2 linked regions of the Nothobranchius furzeri genome follow. The protein of the gene in region 1 interacts with the protein of each later gene in a biochemical or structural test. Links are inferred from orthologs where the notes say so. Each region holds a gene or a part of one and is shown on either strand. Other genes may lie near its edges.

Region 1 (3,752 bases):
TGAAGACATGACTGTAATAATAAGTAAAGGTTAGCAGCTGTAGCTTCAGTGTGCTCATAGGAAACGTGACAACAGAACACAAAACACATTTCTCTTCATGGCCTACATAATTGTCATCATCAACGTAACATGATTTACAGAATACATGTGACCAACTAACATTTCATGTTCTACCACCGGATGTTTGGATCAAAATGTGAACCAATCAGATCTTAGATCAGGTGAGAGCCAGGCGTTTCCCATCATGCCCTAGGTTTAGCAGCCGGTGGAGAGCAACTGCAGCGCCTTGATCTCACGAGGTTATCGTTGCGTACGTATGCATGACGTCAGAGCAAGTCGGCGTCAAGTCGGACAAATCTAACCGGCATGCACTGCGCGCCAATCACCGGTGATCTAATCTGCGCAGAACTGGCTCTTCTCGAACACGGCCGATGTTTATAAATAGCGCATCTGTGTTGTCATGACCAGGTCCGCTCAGCTTCACTTTGCGCGATCACCCATTGGCTGAGCGCACTGCCAATCACGACATGACGACTACGTCATAGCGGTACGACAGGTGATTGGTTGGCTTCTCTGAATAATCTCACCGCCGAGTAGCTACGACTGTGTGCACCATGTTTGATGAGCTGCTCGGCTCCTCAGCTCTGTGATTAGTTTCGTGTCATTTGGACGAAGCGTGGAGGTCCGAGCTGCTGCTTTCTTCGCCCTCGGCTGGTGGCTGTGAGACGGACCGAACCCGGGACGTGGGGACGCGGCTGTCCGTTAGCTAGCTCCGAGCTGTCAGGTTGAATAGCCATCAGTGGTTTCAAGGTAATTAGTCCCGCAGGAAAAGAGCCCGGACTCTCCCTAGCGGTGTTATTGGGTCTTCTCTGGATGTGTAGGCATGAGAGCCACCGGAGGACACCGCGGAGCACCCTGAACACCAGGCTGTCGCCGGGAGTCAAGTTTACTGCCTGTTAGCTGCGCGTGAGAGTCCCTGCTGTTTAATCCTGGCTAATGGTGGCAGTTCCGTGACCCAGCAGGAGGATCGTGATGGGGGTTCTGTCAGGGCGCGCAGCTCTGAGAGACTGAAGTGAATGGCGCTGGCCTGGGCCTGCCTCTGCCGTGATACACCCCCTCTGCACCGGATCTGCAGCGTTAATCACGGCCTGGAAATCACCGCTGTTTACCTAATTGCTGCTTTGCCCGGGCACACATCGGAAGAGGAGTCCGTCTGGGACGGTAGATGCGGTTTCCAAGCCGACCGAAGCCCCCTATGCGGGAAGGATTTAAGGAAAACTTGGCTCCTCTCAGAGATGAGTGCCGTGCTTCCCATGTGACAGGATCTAGATCGCACTTCGCTACCAAGACGGGGAAGCCGCCTCTGCCATGAGGGACGTCGAGGGCCACCGAATTTATCTGCTGAGGGGGTTCTGGGCTCGGTTCTGTTGACTGTTTTAATCATGGCGCTCAGATTCTAGACTCTGGTCGTTGTGCATGTCAGCGACATGTGAGGATCTCACTACTTGATGGTGCACCAGAAGAACGGAAGTTGTTTAACACCATCGGGTCGGATCCTCGCTGGCATTATGATAGAGAGACTCTTTCAGATGTTTTTGTCCCCATGAAGGATCAACGTGGTTGGATAATTTAAGCACCAGATCTCCTCTTTATGATTTTGTTTAGTTTAATTAGTGCTGTAGCCATCATCATCATCATCATCATCATCATCATCCGGTCAAACAGGCGTTGGTGAATGGCTCTGTGCGGAACAACTGCTACCAATGTTCCCAAAATGATGGCTGCTTACAACGGTGGCTCCTCAGCGGTGGCTGCCCATCACCACCACCAGCTCCAGCACCTTCCACCTCCCCACATGCACCACCACCACCACCATGCGGGCCAGCACCAACTGCAGCACCCGGGCTCCGCTGCCGCCGTTCACACGGTGCAGCAGCACACGTCCACAGCTGCCGCCGCAGCAGTGATGCTGAATCCCGGCCAGCAGCAGCCTTACTTCCCCTCCCCTGCCCCTGGACAAGCTCCGGGACCCGCGTTGGCCACGGCTCCCGCACAGGTTCAGGCTGCAGCAGCTGGAGCTGTCAAAGCTCACCACCACCATCAGCAGCAGAACGCTCACCATGTGCAGCAGCTGGATGTGGAGCCCGACAGGCCCATTGGCTACGGCGCGTTTGGGGTGGTCTGGTGAGTTCTGGTGACCTTTTATCTACATGAGGAGAACGGATCCAAACCACGGGAACCATTTAAAGGAATAGTTCTGAGCTTCTCAATTGGCTCAGCTTGGAGAAATTAGTTCTGGCAGGACAGCTGAGTTGGGTCAGTTCTACTATCTGACAAGGATTCTAAAAATAGTTGGTAATGCAAAAGTTGTTTTAAACCCTTATGACAGAGATGCATGAAGGAATCAGCTGGGATCGATCCGCCAATCCAGAACTTAAAAATCATGTTCTCATTTTTTATACTTGAATGCACATTTGCCAAGCAGGGAGTTAGAAAATCTTTCTTGGTCCTTGAACTCACCATGGCTGAGCTTTCATTTATAGCCATAACTCACTTTAATCATAAAGTGAAACAATAAAATAGGATAAGGTGAAGCTGGAAAAATAGAAGCCTGCTTCAGAAAATCGGATTTCTCTTTAAAGCAGTTCCTCTTCATGCTTTCACGTGTTGTGGCTTTGACTTGGATGTGATTGCTCAGGTTGGCTTATGCAGACTGGCTGATGGACGGCATTGTGCCTTCATGTGCTGTTTTGGCCTCCGTATTTAAATTAATCTTTAAAGGTGTGGTTCACTCGTTTAATCACTACATTTGCAGTGGTCTCTAGTAATAAATGCCTTGTAAGTTGTACTCTGGGTACGATAAGTCCTGGGGCCTCTTTTATGGTAAATGGTAAATGGTAAATGGCCTGTATTTGATATAGCGCCTTCTAGAGTCCTGGAACCCCCCAAGGCGCTTTACAACACAACCAGTCATTCACCCATTCACACACACATTCACACACTGGTGGGGATGAGCTACAATGTAGCCACAGCTGCCCTGGGGCGCACTGACAGAGGCGAGGCTGCCGAGCACTGGCGCCACCGGTCCCTCCGACCACCACCAGCAGGCAATGTGGGTTAAGTGTCTTGCCCAAGGACACAACGACAGCGGCAGACCGAGCGGGTCTCGAACCTGCGACCTTCCGATTGCACAGTATTTATGCACAGACCTGTGTGTATTTCATGCGTAGGACCTATAATTTGCTCATTGTGTGGAACAAATGTTTTACTTGTACATGGAAATGTTCCTAAGGCCCAATCCCAATACTTGCACTGCACCCTAATAAGGTCTTATGTGAAGTGCGCTTGGAGGAAGTGCGCAGTAAGGCTTCGAGTGCGTAGTACAAATGCCAAATTGGAACAAAGAGCGTTGCGTCATTGACCGCAGTGCGTGCCGGGAAGCTGGTTGCTCTGCCACTTTAGAAGTTGTTAAAAGTTTTTTTTAAACAAACACTTATTTGACATAACTTAAAATTCATTACTGCTTTGTCTAAAACTTTCAGAGCACCAATTAACCATCCTAAAAAGAACAACTTTCATTTGAAAATATACATTTTCAGGAAAGGCACTTGAGCCTTTTCTCCTACAGCAAGATTGTGCGTAATACCCTTCGCCCAAGTCCACATCGATGTAGACTTGAGTGAAGTGCGGATCAAGAATGCGAAAAGGGTGTTATCAACTTCCTCACTTGAGTCGGGACACCCTACGCACCC
Region 2 (3,752 bases), on another chromosome or scaffold:
CTTTCCGCTGCATTCTGGAATGCTGCCAGTCCCGGCACTTTAGAATCCACACAGCTTCTAAAACCCAAAAGTCTTTGATCTTTTTTTTTTCCTCGCCGACTTCTTACCCGGAAGAGAACCCCCTTCTCTCACCCCTCTCAGTTTCTCCCCCCTCTCAGCTGGGATGAACGCACACGTGGAAATGTTGGCTCGACTCCACGCTCGGACCAAATTTAGTCATACAAAGGCAAAGGGGGGGAGAGAAAGGGGGGAGGAAGCGGGAGGAAGGGGGGGATGAAAGAGCCAGCCGCCGCTAGATCAAAGGCAGCCGCGGCTCCGCCCCGCTAACCCCACCTACGCGCTTTATAAAGATCTGCCTCCACATCCCGACTCCCGATTCTCACGCAATCTCAGACACAGAAAACACGCAACTTTCACCGCTTTCTACTTACTTATTTTAATCTGCGTGTTTTTTAATCTCTAACTTTTTTAGAAACATATTTAGCGACTATACATAATCATCTTTAAAACAAGTTTTCCCGCATTAAGAAATACATTTGGGATTTTTAAACGACATTCTAAAAAAAGAACAGAAAACTATTTTTGGTAGATCATTTATTATAGCATTGTGTTTGTTTTTAGCCTTTTTATTGCGGGAGCAACATGTATTAATGAACTATTTGGGTTAAAAGGGGCAATCAGCTTCAAGATTGAAGCAATGATAATAAAAAGCAAAATTATACAAAAAGTCTTGCTGGGGTTATTAATTCTGCTGGATTTATGCTTTTATTGACAAATTAGGCTCTAGATCATTCATCAAAGCGCTCCAAGTGGGGAGTCTCCCCCTAAAAATCCAACTTTTGTCCAATCTAACATTTACAACAGTTTGCCAAACAAGCCCAGACGCGTCTGTTTTCCCTCTATTTCCATTTTTATTCCTCCTAATTGTTTAAGCCATCACGCACGCAGCGCGTCAGCCTCCTCTCCTCTCCTGTCTGGCCATTTGTCGGGAGCTCTCTCAGGAGGAGTGTCAATCAGAGCCTCGGCTTCCCTTTCATCTCTCCTTCCTCCCAGTGACTGAGGAGGGAGAAGAGGAGGAGGAGGAGGAGGAGGGAGCAGCTACATTACCAACACACACGCACTGGTTACATTACACTGTGGAAACGCTGCGGGTGCAGAGGGAAGTCAGTCCACGGCGGTTTTCCCTTCTCAGGCTTCTGCTTTTTGATTGTTTCCCTTCTTTTTGCTTTCATCTCTCCTCATTTGAGCAGCTGGGTGAGGATGTACTCGAAGCGCCGCCGCGGTGTGTCGCCTCGCTTGTCGCTGAAGTGTTAAAAGTCCGTTTCCTCTCCTCCACTTTCACCTCCAGACGCTTTTTTGGTTTCTTTAAGGCGACTCACTAGTGTTTTTAACTCCGCAGGACCTGAGCAGCCGCTTCGCCGGACCTCAAAGGAAATAATTTGTTCAAACTTTTTATTCGAGGCTCTTTTCACGGAACGTTTTTTAAATGAGTTTGTTTTTGATTATTTCACCCACGTGACTCGTTGTGGTCCTGTTCATCTTTCCGTGTAGTTGAACAGTGAAGACTCCTCTCTCCTCCTGTTGCTTCAGCCTAAGCGCGCGCGCGCACACACACACACCAGCAGCGTGTCCGCAGCCTCCGAGCCGCGCGCTCTCTCTTCTCGGTGGGAGTTGACCTTCCGCCGCCTGCACCGGTGGTGAATCCTAACGAGCCCACACCTCCAGCGGGCATCATGCCTCAGCTATCGGGCGGCGGAGACCCGGAGCTCTGCGCCACGGACGAAATGATCCCGTTCAAAGACGAAGGAGACCCGCACAAGGAGCAGATCTTCGCCGAACTGAGCCACTCGGAGGAGGAGGGAGACCTGGCAGACATCAAGTCCTCTCTGGTCCACGAGTCTGAGAGCAGCCCCAACAGCAACAGCCACGACGTGAGTCCTGCTCGCACGCACGCACGCACGCACGCTGATTGATGCGGGAGGATGCTAAAACTCTCATCAGAGGGCAGAAACTGCGTTTGGAAACGTTTAAAGACGTTTATCTAACTTGAATAATCAGCTAAGTAGCGTTTTGACATGATTTTACTCACATAAAAACCCGAACAAAGCCACTAATTAACCAGTAATTTCTAATTTAGAAAACATGCTTGGCTCTGCTTAATTTCTTTAATCTAACATTGAAAACCACCTAATTCGCCACCACCTGCTGCTCTAAAGAGGCATGGCTCTGCAGCCTACAGGCCGATGTAAGCCGAGGCCTAAAGTAAAAATATCCAGCTGTAAAATCTGCACACATATTGATGTGAAATGAGACATCTGAAGATATGTTTAGGTGTGATCGGGCCTGGTGAGCAGCCTGTGACAGGCAGGCTGCTGTGTGGTCATGGTCCACCCTCAGCTGCCCCAGAACATCAATCCAGACAGCACACCTGGTTTAAATTGTTATTGATTTAACCTGAACGATGATTTTGTTTTTATATTCCTGCTGATTCTGCCTGCTGTTTTTTCCCATCATTCAGATGGTGTCTTTAAATTACAATTCCATGTTTGATTTTATTTATTTTCTTGATCTAAGTAAAAAACAAATAATAATAATTTAAATTTATTTTTTTAAATTACTGATTTACCTCGGTATTTAATCTTCATTGATGTTTAATGATTTTAACATTGGGGGAACATTGAATTGAATGTGTGTTTTGATTCGTTTGGATGCTTTGACCTAAGCAGGAACTCAGGCTTTTACTCTGAAAGTTCTGCCAGCGATCACCAAATCCCCAGAAATGTGAGAGGAAGTGTTGATTAGGATTCCGGTGACGTTCCTTTGCTCAGCTTGAAGTCATCCTGAGGAGGTCCAAAATAAAAATCTGAAAATAACTAAATCCGATTTAGTTGTTTTAGATCTGAGAAGATGAAGGAAGTCCAACATGTTCTGTCTTTATGGTTTTCACTTTTATTCTCCATCATGTGTTTTTAATTCATAACATTAATATACTGCATTTATATGAATAAAAAGATGCTTGAACTCGGATGAAGATGAGTTACCTAAAGGTATTGATGAAAACAAGTTAATTTGTGAGCTCCTTAAGGACATGAAGCTTAATTAAGTAATTCTTCTGGAGCTTTGATGAAGGCGGCTGTCTCCCCTCTGCAGCTAATTGTGAGTGTGTGTGTGTGTGTGTGTGTGTGTGTGTGTGTGTGTGTGTGTGTTTTGGACATGTCTGAGTGTGTAACTGCATTTCGAGGCCTTAATGGTTGATTCACCAACGTTTTCTCCTTTGCAGGCAGCTAGACAGTCCCAAATATCACAAGATTCCTACCACGACAAACACAGAGACCATCCAGAAGATGGTAAGTGACACAGCCCTGAGCTACGGAGTTTCATCAGCATGCCGTTTAGCTCAAAACCCTCCAGATTCTTCGAATGGTCCCCAGCAGGATTAGAAACGAGGCTAAGGGGGAACGAACAGAAGTGATTATGCTGTAATTTTTTTTTCTCGTGTTCTGATTTTTCTGATCCAAGTCTAGTCAGGACATGCTTCCTTCATAAACACAGCTCCCTCTTACCTACTGCAGAGATGAGGGTGCCTGCACAGAGGGAGGGGAAAAAAAGAAGATACTCCAAATAAAATCAGGAAAATCCGCCCCTATCTGATTTGTTTTGTGTTTTCAAATGCCTACAGACCGTAAAATCCCATGTGAAGTCTGGTTATTTCTAATGGCCCAGTGAAACCCGCCCTCCTGTCCATCAGCTCT

What was found. The genes of interacting proteins can lie anywhere in the genome.
Region 2: of the proteins of nlk2 (region 1) and lef1, one has a biochemical effect on the other in vitro, tested with the Homo sapiens proteins (4 studies listed by BioGRID). The link is inferred for Nothobranchius furzeri from reciprocal best matches to the Homo sapiens genes NLK and LEF1.

The regions. Positions count from the first base shown.
Region 1 is NC_091753.1:61,331,515-61,335,266, reverse strand, and holds the start of nlk2 (serine/threonine-protein kinase NLK), read left to right. Parts: upstream 1-1,505; 5' UTR 1,506-1,735; coding exon 1,736-2,184; intron 2,185-3,752. UniProt on the Homo sapiens protein: Serine/threonine-protein kinase that regulates a number of transcription factors with key roles in cell fate determination. Positive effector of the non-canonical Wnt signaling pathway, acting downstream of WNT5A, MAP3K7/TAK1 and HIPK2.
Region 2 is NC_091746.1:81,763,124-81,766,875, reverse strand, and holds the start of lef1 (lymphoid enhancer-binding factor 1), read left to right. Parts: upstream 1-1,563; 5' UTR 1,564-1,733; coding exon 1,734-1,931; intron 1,932-3,280; coding exon 3,281-3,347; intron 3,348-3,752. UniProt on the Homo sapiens protein: Transcription factor that binds DNA in a sequence-specific manner. Participates in the Wnt signaling pathway. Activates transcription of target genes in the presence of CTNNB1 and EP300.